Rhinolophus ferrumequinum: one gene and its partner. The protein of the gene in region 1 purifies or fractionates together with the protein of each later gene. This does not show direct contact. Links are inferred from orthologs where the notes say so. Each region holds a gene or a part of one and is shown on either strand. Other genes may lie near its edges.

Region 1 (7,064 bases):
ACATTGTGGGTATCAGCAACAGAAACGGTGGAGGAGGCCTTAGTCCTGGGGTAAGTCTCTCTCCATAATAAACAGAGACAAGAATCAACCTACTCTGTCCCATCTGGCCCTCCCTACTCATCAGTGTGAAGATGAGTTGTGAGGTCAGAGATTATCGTCAGGCACACACTGGAGCAGCACACGAGTAAAGCCTATCTGCAGGCAGAGAAAACAAAGTTCAATTCGAGCTCTACGATTCAGTGGGTCTGTGCCTGCGGGAGGTCACGTGACCTCACTGGCATTCATCTCCCCCTTGGGAATAGGAATAGTCGTGATCCCGCTGTGTGAGCACTGAATAAGATAATGTTCATAGCCGCTTGTTAGTAACATTTCCGGTCTTCTATTGCCTTGTTGGTGAAGTGGAGCTCTCACAGTTGCTAGTGGAGATGGACATCCAGGACAGACTCAGCACAATCACAGATTTAGGGATTCGGCACTTAGTGAAGGCGTGCTAACACATGATCAGCTGTATTCCCACGCCCTGCCTGCGCCCTTTCATGCACTTTGCAGATGTTGAAGTGAGGATGCAGAGATTTTTAATAAAAAACATTTGTTTAAAAAATTCACTTACGATATCATCTAGCTGCAGACAGACAGCATCCTCGTCTCTCCCAAACCTGAGAACCAACACTTTCTCTGCAGTGCTTTTTATCACCTGGTCAACTTCTTTTTTGCTGGTCAGCTTGGGCAACAGGAAGCTCATCTTGAAATCATCCAAATATTAATCCTCACTGTCAGTCCTGAAATAAAGTTGCAATGTTTAAAGGCAGATTAAGTACATGAGTCCTAATTTTTAAAAAATGTTAATTTTTGAAGTAGGTGATAATGTTTGTTTTCCCCAGAGGAAAAAAGAGGTTCCTATAAGACAGTATTAAAAAAGTAAAAGGAACACACTAAATGCACAAAGAGGTGACAAATAAGTCCACTCGTTTAAAAAGCAACAATATAGAAAGATATACTGTGAAAACCCCCTGTCCCTGTCTTACCCTCCACCCCTCTAACTTACCTGACTGGCCTAGTTCCCACGGCCCCATTTCTCCCCACACACCAGGTAACTACTTTCATTAGTTTCTTATGTACCTCCCAGAATTTTGTGATGCATTCCCTAGAAAATATAAATATGCATTCCTATGTTTTCTCCTTCTTTTACCCCCCAAATAGCCTTTTCTATCAGTCAATGTTCCAGTAGGAAAGAGATGAAATCCTCACATTTGGTTATTTGAAGGGATTTTTATTAAGGCAGGGTATAGGAAAACTACAGGGTTCAGTGCTATAGTCTGGGGCTAGTAACAGTGGGGCACTCTTCCCACCCCTAGGCCTGAAGGAGAATGGGAGGGAGTAGTCACCAAAACTGTGTGGTGGAGACTGCTGAGTGGAGAAGGCCGCTGTATAGGAGGTCAGCCTGCATGCAGTAAGGGGTGCAGCCACTTTCCTCCCTCCCTCCCTCTGCTCTCCACTGGCTGACTCCACCTGGAAACAAAGGATTAGGGAGCTGCAGAGCTCGACAAGCCTTCTGGTCCCAGAGCTGTCTAGAGGAGGAGGAAGAGTGGCTCTAGAGGGGCAAATGACAGATGTCCAGCACACATATGATGTCTTTACCCACTCTTCTGCACTTTGCACTCTTTTAAACCTAACATACGAAGACTGTCCCATATCCACACACAGAAAATGTACACATTCTTTGTCACAGCGGCATACTATTTCATGCATGTATTTCATGCATACTTTTTACACAGTCCTTTATTGATGAACATTTGTATTATCATGAGTCCTGGCTTAACGATTCTTGGTGCATCTTACTAGGTGCACCCCATCACATGGCAAACAGATCAATTAAGAGCGTGGAAAACCACACACACACACACACAAATCATAAAATACTGAGTTAGAATGGGCCTAATCCATTCTGTATGCAGCCCCTCATTTTACAGACTAGTTTGCATATAGTTACTCTTCTAGCTACAAGAACAAGAAATACAATCCAGGTCACCAAATTTCTAGTCTAGCATTCCTTCTACTACAATTAGTTCCTATTTTACTTATTTTTAACTTTTATTTACTTTAAGTGTGTTTTTCCAGGACCCATCCGCTCAGAGAAAAGTAGTTGTTTCAATCTAGTTGTGGAGGGCGTAGCTCACAGTTGCCCATGTGGGGATCGAACTGGCAACCTTGTTGTTAAGAGCACCATGCTCTAACCAACTAAGCTAACCTGCCGCCCCAATGTGCTATTTGAAAGTTGAGAAACTTTTTGATCAAACTTTGTTTTTGAGTCCATCCACAAGAAACCCATTAAGTTACTTAATATTTCAAATTCAGTTCCAAAGTTGGCTAATGCTTTGAAAAGGGAGGATTTTTTCTCTCTCTCTCTTTTTTTTTTTTGGTGACAAGTCACATTTTAAGATGTGAATTGATAAAAATTCATATAGGAAATGAAACCGTTCCAGTAATAGGTGATACTTTAAATAGGGAAGCTGATTACGAGGACTCATCAAATGTGAGTGGCAGAACAAATTACTGATGAAAGTTAAAGAGAATATGGATCTGTCTCACGACTAGAATTCAAACAAACAGCAACTCCTGTTTATTACTAAGAGGAAGACATGAGGGGAGGGCAAAGCTGTCAACGGATGGAGAGGGACTGGATAAATGTTGGAAGGAGGAGGGAAACTGAGACCACACTTAATAGAATGTCTACAGCAAAGGATACTAAAAGAGAAGTCATAAAAGAGGTACAAACGGACAATAAACATATTTGGCAAGTTAAGCTTTACTAGTAAGGAAAGAACAGCAAATTAAAAGATGTATTTTTAAACTCCATTAAATTGGCAAAGATTAAACAATAATGGCAATAGAGTGAATGATGGGCAGGCATTCACGGTCCCTGCTGGAATGTAGATAAACAAACCTTTTCTTGTAAGAAAGCTGAAATACTCTTTAGCCAAAATTTCCAGTTCTGAGAGTTAGTTCTCAGTAAATAGACGTATGCACAAATATTTACATACAAAGGATATTCCTCACATTTAAAATGGTGAAAAACTGGAAATCAATTTAAATGGCTACTTAATAGGGCATTGGTGAAATAAAAGATAGTACCGTCCTACAATGTACAACCACTACATACTATGTCAGACGTGTACATTTCAGATAATGAATAGTTCTCAAGATAAAGAAAAAAGTTATAACACAGTGTGATCCCACACTCTATAGTTTAGGTGCAAAACCTAATTATAATGCAAATGTACATTTTTACAAAGAAAAATAACTGGGAATGAATGTCCCCAGACACCATCAGTGGCTATCTCTGCGTGTGAACAGATGGGTGACTTTTATTTACATCGGAATGTGTCTTTATTTTTCCAAAACATTCGACCTCGTTGACCCGTAACAAACGCGGGAGTAAGGCACCTATGACCTGCGGAGTCGAAAAATCGCGCATAACTTAAGTCGGCCCGCCACTGTACGCGGATTCCCAACAACTCATCAAAAATACAGTTGACCCTTGAAAAACGCGGGTTCAAACAGCGCCGTTCAAACCCGTCGTTGTTCAAGGGTCACTGGTAAATTTTTAATGTCTGTGGTTGGGGTCCTCCTGGCCCAAAACTACTAGGGAAGGCGATACTTACTTTCTTTGTGCAAGTCGCCTCTCTCTTCAACTTCAGGACTGTCAGCAACCCGTCCCCTTTTCCAGAGTCGGGACACTGGCGGCTCCTTTCTTCCGCCGGAAACACCACAGCGACGCGAATCCAAAGTAACCGAGAGACCGCTGTCCAGCAACCCTGGCGGCCCACTTAAGGAGACGGAAACGGAAAAGGAAAACGCACAGGCGCAGTAGAGACACGCGCCGCCGTCCCCGCTCAACAGCCCAATAAAGCAGAAGTTGTTGTAGTCACTGTCCCCTGTATCGAGCTCTAACCGGAAGCCTTAGGTCATTTCCGCCCTTATTAAAGATGACAGACCTCCTCCTTTTCCCTTTCACCCGTTCAGAGTAGAGGCGGGGCCAGGCCTCTCAGACTAAGTGTGATTGGTCGCAACGAGACTCGGAAGTGTCTCTGATCAGAGTCCCAGAGTAAGGCACTCTAGCCTTGAGGAACTGGTCGCGTTATGTCCCATACTTGGAGCCAGGAACCAGCATTTTCCGGGTTGCTCTCTATGGTCTCTCTTTGGAAGGATAGAAGGAGCCGCACAAGGTATTATGGGACAGTAATGGCGGCTTTCAAGGTGCGGATTTTGGCTCTCTAAGGAGAGCTGAGGAAGAGCTAGCGGCGCCGGCGCCCCAGCGTCTGGGACAGGAGGTCCCGAGAGTCGGGCTTGGTGAGGTGAGTGTCCTTTTCCCTTCCTGACCTGCCGTTCGCCAATCATGGCGGCTCCAGGCAGCGGATATCGGTCCCTCGCTCAGGTTCGGGCCCGGGTTTGGAAAGTCTGGTTCCTGCCACCCAACTTGCCTTACTCATCCTAGGGATCCTGCGCAGGTCTGGCCTGGCCTGGCTTTTCTCTTTGTTCAGGTCAGATCCTGCTGCCCGGCGCGGCCTCTCTGAGGTCCAGGGATGCTACTCGGGGGTCAACCGTGTACCCTTCCTTAGGCCTCCGCGTTAGGCCACTCGCGGACGCACGCCGAGCCCAGTAGGGTTCCTCGTGTCTTCCTCTTCTCTGTCACGGCGGTATCTATCAGGTGATCTCCTCTACTAGAATGTTAACTCCAAAGGGTGCGGATTTTTGTCTGTTTTGTTCTCTGTTCAATCCCTGTTGCCCATAACAGCGATTGGCTCACAGACGAGTAGGTACTCAATATTTGTTGAAGGAGTAAATCCAGTTACTTGCTTCATTGTTTTTCTCGTAACCCTTTGTAGCTTCTTTGCCATTAATTCTGCTCCACAATCCAACTCCTTAACTCCTTATTTGTTCTCAGCAGCTATGTAGTTAAATCCTGCTGTCAGACTCCTTGACCTGTGCTGCTGGAATCTTCCCTTGCTGTCTCTAGAAATGTTTCACTTCCCTTTAATCAGTTTAAATTCATTCATCCATTTATTCAAACGTTATTCAATGTTTATTTTGCCAGGCACTGAGTAGGGCATCAACAAGACTGACAAGGTTCTCTCTCCTGCATAGAATGGCATTCTAGGGGTATACATTCTAGTTCAGACTACATCTGAGCAGAGCCTTTTCAACTTCAGGACTGTCAGCAACCTGTCCCCTTTTTCTGTTTAGATTTTCTCAAATGTGTACAGATGTCACCAATATGCAGTTTTCCCTTCTATCTGCCTAACAGCATTTTTCAAAATGCAGCTCTTGTTCCTTTGTCCATAATATATGTCCAGTCTGTTTGGCAATATTCCTCTATAGAGCTGTGCATGTTAATTAGAGCTGGGCAGAACATTCTAGATTCTGGTGGTATACTACCTCTTGACAGTTCCTTTGCTTCACTGACTTGTTGGAATGAGGGGAATTATCCAAGCACCCAGAATTGGTGTATCTTTATAAGTGGATGCTGTGAAATAGGAAGTAAAGAGGAATTTGTTATAAGTGCTAGGAAATCCATTTTTTAACCTAGTGCTTCTCATCAGTATTTTTGGTGAACATGGATTGTTGTTAAACAGATTTCGATTGCTGTGAGGTAATTCTTTTCTACAAAACATAACTGGTCCCCCCCATACCCCACAAAACCACTAAAGTATGGATCACATGGGTGGTAGGTACCCTTATACCCCAATATCTCTGCTGTGTCTGTAGTTAAAGGGAGTGAGAAGTAGAAGAACTTGTGTAAAAAAATGGTGAGGGACCCAATTCAATATATAGGAGCACAGCAAATAATACAATGTAACAATTTCATTTATGTAACTCTTTATATTTTCAAAGAAGTTTCACATACACTTTCTTGTTTGATTCTCACAATAACTCCATGGATTACATGTAAAACAGAAAGTATTTCCGTTTTACAGATAGAGAAATTATGCCCAATCAAAGATTAAGTTATTTGCTTACAGTCATACAGGTAGAAAATGTCAAGAGCCTGGATTCCAATTGAGGTTTCTGACTTCAAATCTAATGGTATTTCCCTTATGCTCCCTTTATAGATGCCATCATGTTTTAGTAAGTGTGCCACAGTGAGACCAGAGGATGATACTTGCTTGGGTCCTGGTGTTTGGGGGTGGATGCGGCGTGTGTGTGTGTGTGTGTGTGTATCTCTGATGTGTTGCAGTGGGAGTAGGAGGGTCTTTTGAGATTATCAGTGACTTGATGGAAAGGTCTTAGCAAGAGGTGCTAAAGAAATCCTGGTTTTAAGGGGGAGTTTAACCCCCTAAAGATACCTACAACTATAGTTATCTTGGGATACAGCAAAACCAAGCCCTCTCCCTCTTATGTCCAATACAAAATGGTTTGTCTTCCTTCTGAGAAGTCCCGGAACCTGTCATGGAGGACACCAGTGAGGAGACCTCGATCCATAGACTGGAAGGCACTGATCTGGACACTCAGGTTGGCGGTCTTATTTGCAAGACCAAAAGTGCAGCCAGTGAGCAGCATGTGTTCAAGGCCCCTGCTCCCCGCCCTTCATTGCTGGGACTGGACTTGTTGGCTTCCCTGAAACGGAGGGAGCGAGAGGAGAAGGATGATGGGGAGGACAAGAAGAAGTCCCGAATCTCCTCCTATAAGGACTGGGAAGAGAGCAGGGACGAGCAGAAGGATGCTGAGGAGGACAGCAATGACCAGGCTGGCCGAAGCAGCCGGAAAGACAGGTAAAGGCTTTAGGGTGTTTGACCCAAAGGGAATGAAAATGGAGGCCAGAAAATAATGGCCCATGTTTATCGCTCAGTTTTCTTGTTGGACGTGGAGAGCTTTATGATTTTATTATGGTTCTTTAATATTGAGGGTAAATAGGAATTGTATTTTCTTCAGATTTGTGGGAACATTCAAAGGAGACTAAAGAATAGATGCTGGAGATTAGAAATGCTTTGGATTGTTGCCATATGTATGCTTTCAGTACCTGGGGGATAAAATGGAAAAGGATGGGTCACTTGTTTGGCACAGCT
Region 2 (7,115 bases), on another chromosome or scaffold:
AAAGCTGAAAGAGCAATACTGAAAAAACAACACTAAGTGATCTTTATTGGAAGATGGAACTTTGCAGGTATATAGCTACAAAAAACCCCTGAGAAATGAGGTAACCTATCTTTATGGAAGTCCTCCTACAACATATTTTGCCAGTAGGAACCCACTGAATAAGGATGCAATCCAGAAAATGGGCTCAGTAGCTTGGTGGGACATCTATCTCCTCCAAGGCAAGGTGGGCTACAACTTTGCCAGGCCACTCAGCTTTAGGGGAAGGAGCATACTTACCAGACAGATGTGCCTGTTAACAGGGGGGCCACAAGTACTTCCATTCAGAAATTGCACTCCTGATTTTGATCCAGAAGTACAAGTATATACTTATACTTTCAGATAAGTATATAAGCTCCTCTAAAGATAAATGATGCATTTTATAGAAAATCAGAAACACTTTCTATTTTGCTTGTCACAATAAAAAGAAAATTCTCAATTACCCTATAATGGAGAATTGGGAAAAGCACACAATGGATAACCCAAACTAGCAGTCAGTACAAAAACTCCCATGTGTGGCTTGGAAATAAACTATAATTTTAAACATCTTTAAGCTAAAAATTGTTTTCATTTTCTTTGAGATAAACCTTGAGTCTAAGTATAAAGCAGCAAATGCAAGCTGACAGCAATATGGCAATTTAAAACACACTGTAAACAGTTAATGATAATAAATAATTGGTAATACTAGTTTCAAGCTATTAGTTAATCAAACCCAGTTTGAAAGCTAATCTTGCTTCTTAACCAAGCTGTGTTATTTAGCCTTTCTGAGCCCCAGTTTCCTATCTGTAAAATATGGTTAATAATAGTTCCTACACCAGAGGATACAAGTAAAGAGTCTCTGGCACATAGTAGGCACTCAGTAAATTTTGATTATTCTTTCCTGTTAAAAAAATGTCAAACTAAAGATCATTTCACAAGTATTCTAGAATTTTCTAAGCGCACTCTTTGGATTTAGTTCTCCATACAACTTAAGTTTAACAAGGGCACATCAGTTAATTTATTTCATCTCTTTCCCTATTAGATAAAAATTAAATCTATTTTGTTTCAACCATTCAATTTGCTTTACTGCAGGACCCCAAACCTTCCCAAGGGAAGGAAGGAGATTAGCGGCTATTTCTAAAGTGGTAAAAATAAAAATGGGGAGAAAAAACCAGATTCCTATATTATTGTATTAGAAGAGTATGATTTCCTATGATAGTATGACATTGAGACATAATGCTTAAAAATACTTTTAAAAACTTTGTATAAGTCCAATTAAACACATAATGTGAAGTAAAATTATACACCTTATTTCAAATTATGAGATTTCTAAGAAGTGATCTCAAATCTACACATGCTTTCATCTCAAAAGAAGTCAACTGAACATACAAAGCCCGTACCTTCCAATTCACTGTTAAGTTTCCCAAGCATCCAAAGATGTACAGGGTATAGTTCTGACAGTCATGTACAAAGAGCACACTAACAAACTTGTATTTTAAGAGGCAAATAAACCTCAGAAAAATATACTCGACGTATTCAAAACCCTTTAAATGCCTCTAAAAGGAAACAATTTTCCTCCAGTTTTAAGTCATTTTGGCAGCCATATTAGGATAACCTGTGGGCCATCGACTCCCAATTACCACTTCTCAATTCAAACTGAAAATCATGTCCCTGAAGTCTTCAGTTACACAACGATGAGTCTTGTTTGTTTTTCATGCAATTGCAGTTCTGGCTTGAGGTGAGTCCTATTAAAATTTGAAATGGGTTCGTAATAATTCAGATACAGAGCAACCACAATCATAATAAACTGAAATAGTTTGCTACTAATGTAACAAGACTATAGATTAATGTAACAAGACAGGTTTTCAACTTGAGAAGAAACAACTTGAAAATAGTGTTACCTGACGTGAACATGCCACGGAGGGAAGGAGCAATCCCTAAAAAGAGTTACGTCTTTAAAAATGTGAAACGCTTATTTCCAAACAACTTGGTCTTTGAACCTGGAGGGCTGTTTCCAAATATGCGAAGCATAGGCGCTAGGGCAGATTGACACGGATTTAAAGCGCTCTGCAAACTTTTCCCCACCTGTTAACTGAACCAAATTATGGATATACATTTAAGCAGTCAATAAAGCTCGCATAAAACGATTCCAAACTTGAAAGTCGTTTCCACAGTTAAACTGCACAGAAGATTCTACAACAAAAAGACAACACTGGGGAACACAAATCTATCTTCTTACGGCAAAGAAGCATTTTCTCGGCCGAGTGTAGTTGCCAGAACCACGCACCAGGGTTGCCAACCTGCAACAGGATCGGCAAGATGTAACAGTTTTGTTTGTTTGTTTGTTTTTCAAGTAAAGCACAGGGAAATGTTCTCCCAAGAGTGAAACAGCTAAGAACTTTCTTAGCTCCGAGGAAAGTTTCATGCCTGCTTTCCAGATGGGTGGCCTAGGGAGGCAGATCGGATTAATCAGTGCCTTTTCTCAAGGTCACTCTAGTGCAAAAGAACAGCCCCGTGCGGGCTCCCGATCCCAGGTCTCCGACCCCTCCACATTCTCAGGCAACAGCCCAGACGTGCCTGGCTCCACTCGTGCTCGCAAGTGCCACCAGGCACTCGGAGAAAAAAACGTTTCGAACGCTCTCGGTGAAGACTGGGGTACCCGTGGCCCGCCCACCACCGAGGCGGTAGCCGCCCCCTCCGTCCACGGACGGAGAGGGACACTGGCCCCAAGAACCAGGGCCGTGGCCGAGGGCCGTGGGGGAGGCGAGGGTCCCGCGGAGCAGGGATTCACCTACCATCGCTCTCCGCCCTGACAAGCAGGGACATGCCCTTCAGCCGCTCCACGTAACCGGACGACACATGCCCGGTGCCACGGTCGTCCCACTGCCGGTCCTCGTTAAGCGTGTAAACCTTCACCCGCCGCCGGGTGTCGGTCATCGTGCCGCCCAGGAGCCGGGGCAAAGGCCCCGCCGGAGTCGCCCAGGAAGGGGGTCCGGGGGAGGCGGGAGCCGAGGCGGGAGGACGCCCGCAAGCGCAGGGGTCCCCGGCTTCACTGCCGTCGCTGGCCGCCGCGGGGCCGCGCTGCCGCCCGCATGGCCCGCTGCCGGGCCCGAGCTCTGGACCCCCGCCTTTCCTCGCCTCTGGTGCCTCGGCGCTATTGTCCAGGCCCGGCGAGCCCGGCCGCCCCGAGTGGGGCGCGCAGCGCTTAGCAGCCTCTCGTCCCGCCGCGGTAGGTACTCGGGGCGCCGGTCACTGCCCTGCTCCCGCCTCCGCCATGATCTCCGCGAAGCCGCTTCCCGCGCCGCCGCCGCCTCCTCAGGCCGCCGCCGCCATGTTTTCCTTCCTTATACCTGGCCCTGCCACCGTAGCCGGTGGCTCCACTCCGCTTCCCTGCTTCAAATGTCCGACGCCGACGGGCGCCTGCTCCTGCCGCAGCTGCTACCACTGCGCGGGAGACTCCAAGAGCCCCCAGGCGCCGAGCGCTCGTGGCTGCGGGCAGTCCCTTTCCTTTGCCGCTGCCGCCGCCTCTTCCGTCTTCCTCACAGAGCCAAAGCCGCCGCCATCTTGGTTCGCCCCTCAATAGCGGCGCGCGGGGCCACCCAGGCAGCAGCTGCAGGGGCGGCCCGTTGGTCCCACCATTTAAAGAGACAGGAGCGAGGCCGGGAGCCTCAATGCATCGAAAGCCTCAGACGGAGGCGGTTGGCGGGCGCCGAGTTGCCAAGGTGGCGGGAGCGCCGGGTGCGAAGGAGGCGGAACGCTGGTCGCACCGGTGACGGCCCGGGGCTCCCTCGCGCTCCCTGCACGCACTGTCGTGCGGGCGCTGGGCGGTGTGTGCGTCCGTCGCACCCTGTGTTCGTCATCAGCTCAGCTTGGGGATTCGGAAGGGGCGTGGAGCCGGCCTGTGGCCGCCTGTGCCGGCCTGCTCCTTACCCGCCGCGCGCTTAGTGTCTTGGGCTCTGAGTCTGCCCGCCGACTCCCCGCGTGGCTCGCTGTGCAGCCCCCGGGCCACTTCGGCCTGGGGCCCTCCAGCTGCGCTCCCGACACCCGCTTCCCGACTGTGCTTTCCGGGCCGCCTTTGGGGCTGGACTGGGGCATCCACAGCGCGCAGTTCTGGGGGCGCTGGAGTCTCGCTGACTTCAGCCATTTCTCCTTTGGGAATACATTGAAAAGCTTCCGGCAAGGGCCACAGGTTTTGGGAACGAGATCAGCCACAGGTCTTGGGAGCTGCTTTGGGCTCGTACTGGTGTAGCGAGCGAGTCTAGAAACGTGGGACACTTTGCATTTTCTGGGCCTGGGACCAAACCTAGGAAGTGCCAAGTCTAAAACCAACCACCTTACAATCCAGCTGCTACCTCCATTTCTTTATCCTTTTTCAGAAGTTATCTTCCAGCTCTCCATGTTACAAAAAGAACTTGAGGGGCTTACAAAAAACATACGATACTGTAAAATCACGATGAATAATTCTCGACATTACATGTTAAGCACTGCTAATCTTCAAAAATCACGTTCTCATTCCTCTCATGCAGATAATAGCCACCATTTTGGGGGCTTTTTCCATTTGCCAGACTATTTAGGTCATTGCTGTCCACTAGAAATAAAATTTGAGCAATATATGTAATTTTAAATTTTACAGTAGCCACTTTTTTAAAAAAAGTAAGAAATTTCTGAAATGTAATAACATTTTACTGAATGCAATCTCTTCAATATAATAAAATAGTAAATATTTTACATTCTTTTTCTTCGTACTAAGTTCCCTTCGTCCTAAGTTCAAAATGGGGTATGTGTTTTACCCTTAGTGTAAATTTCTATTTGGATACTAAATTTTCGTTGGAAATACCTGATGTGTAATGAGATTTCATTAAAATTTACTATTGAACAAGTAGATTCACATACTCAAATTATTTCAAACATACTTAAAATGTTTTCAAAAATGAATCAAGTATCAGGGTTTTTTTCCATTTAATTAACATTAAATAAAGTATAAAATTCAGTTCCTGTAGCCACATTTCAAGCACTCTGCAGCCATGTGTGGCTGGTGGCTACTGTTATGGCATGTTCAGGTGCTTAACGTTACCAGGAATTTCATATTCAAACTAGCCACGTAGTTGGAGTTATACCCATCTATTCTGAAAGAGGCCTGGATGGCATGACCAGGGCTGAGTGGTTTTCCAGGATGTGGGATTTCAGTTTTAAAATCAGAAGTTGGGACCTTCCTCCCCTACCACGTCAAATACAAAGAAGTGCTTGCAAAGAGCAGCCTGAGACGTTCATCATTTATAAGCAAAATTAGAAATTGTAAAAAAAAAAAAAAAAAAAGCAATTTTTTTCTAAAAAGTAAAATGTAATAATTTCAAGCATGAGGAGGTAGCAACAATTTTGTCCATTTTTGACACAGTAAGACATCATTAAATTTATTCACGTTACTTTATTTGATCCCCAAACCAAAAACGAAATGATTTGTGGAAAGATCATGTTTCCTTATAATATACTTTTAAGGTAAATTAAATAGGAATTATTTATTACATGAAAAAAATTTAAAATGATATGTAACAAGTAATATAGACAATTATATTTAAATGAACTGTTTAATATAATCTTAAATAACAGTTGAGTTGTATTAGTCAGGGTTCTACCAGAGAAACAACCAGCAGGATACATCTACCCAGATGTCATGGAATTGTTTATGTTATAGTGGGGTATGGTGAGGCAAATCAGAAATACACAGGGCAGGTCAGCAGCAGGATAGAAACTCTTGGGCAGGAGCTGACACTACAGTCCACAGACAGAATTTCTTCCTCAGGGAAACCTCAGTTTTGGTCTGAAGGTCTTTCCACTAAATAGATGAGGCCCGCCCAGATCACCTAGGATAATCTTCACTTAATGTCAAAGATGTGAATCACATCTACAAAATACCCTCACTGCAACACCTAGATTACTGTTTGAGTAACTGGATACTATTGATTGCCTAGCCAAATTGACACAAAACTATCACAGTGGCAAATAAATAGTTTAAAACCACTTAATCCTATACCATGCACAAATAGTGATACAATTTAAGAAAATTCCTAATGGAGTTCAATAACGGGGGGGGGGGGGGGGGGGGGGGGGGGGGGTTGCAAAACACAAAAGGTTGAGATACACTGTCAGTGGTCAAGTGTGGGTGTTGTATTTTGAGTCTAGCTCCTCTTAGTAGCTGTGTGACATTTGCAAGTTTCTTAACCTTTCCATAAGATAGGAATAATAATAACTTCGAAGGTTGTTGTAAGGATTAAATAAGATCCTGATTCCTCCTGCGCTCTAAACATAAAGCTTTTCCTCTGAACCCTTCATGCAGAACATAAACTTGTAACACACGCAGTGGAGCCAATTCATTATGCAATATTTATACCTACTCTATGTTACTTACCTTTGTCCATGTTGCATTTATCCTTTTATAGTGTTGCCTGCTTTTATAGTGTTGCTAAAAACCCTGGAAAGGACAGGGACAATGCTGTCCCTGGACTCCTGAATGCCCGTCCATACAGATGACCAACATATCGGACGTGAAGATAATGGTATCTGTGTGAGGGGAAGGGCATGGCACCAACCGTTAGAAGAGCCGAGCCCTTATAAGAGTTCAGCCACTAAACTGGTGACCTCGTATAAAACACTTAACCCCTTTGGGCCTCAGTTTTCTAATCCCAATGAGATGATCTTTAACAACACTTCTGGCTTTCACATTCTGTAAGTGTGCAGCAATGAATGTAAGAATAATAGAATCATTAAATTCTCTCCATAAAGACAGATGCCAATATGATCACACCTTAGCATTTTCATGACATTTATAAGCATTTTATTACATAGCACCATGCTATTTTTAAGACACATTTTAAATATTTGCTTAACAGTATCCAAAGCATTTCGTACAAGTTGCCCTACTTACGGCTTCCGGCCACTATTGTGCAGTGTGTTACCACATATTATGGCAAGGATATCTATTTGTTTAAAAGCCCCTGGGGTAGATTTCAATTATTGCGCTGAAGAGTAACTGTTTTCCTGAAAATTATAAAAACATTCTACATTCTAAGAAATGGCTATTATGGATGGGATGAAAAGATGTC

What was found. Proteins that work in one complex are often made in the same cells at the same time.
Region 2: the proteins of DHX38 (region 1) and PPP4R3A purify together in Homo sapiens (co-immunoprecipitation; 3 studies listed by BioGRID and IntAct, with this or other methods). This does not show direct contact. The link is inferred for Rhinolophus ferrumequinum from reciprocal best matches to the Homo sapiens genes DHX38 and PPP4R3A.

Annotation. Positions count from the first base shown.
Region 1 is NC_046298.1:20,680,506-20,687,569, reverse strand, and holds the start of DHX38 (pre-mRNA-splicing factor ATP-dependent RNA helicase PRP16), read left to right. Parts: upstream 1-4,061; 5' UTR 4,062-4,355; intron 4,356-6,433; 5' UTR 6,434-6,447; coding exon 6,448-6,770; intron 6,771-7,064. Other genes in the region: TXNL4B (thioredoxin-like protein 4B), read right to left, coding at 611-742. UniProt on the Homo sapiens protein: Probable ATP-binding RNA helicase. Involved in pre-mRNA splicing as component of the spliceosome.
Region 2 is NC_046289.1:10,856,062-10,863,176, reverse strand, and holds the start of PPP4R3A (serine/threonine-protein phosphatase 4 regulatory subunit 3A), read right to left. Parts: upstream 3,001-7,115; 5' UTR 2,953-3,000; coding exon 2,811-2,952; intron 1-2,810. UniProt on the Homo sapiens protein: Regulatory subunit of serine/threonine-protein phosphatase 4. May regulate the activity of PPP4C at centrosomal microtubule organizing centers.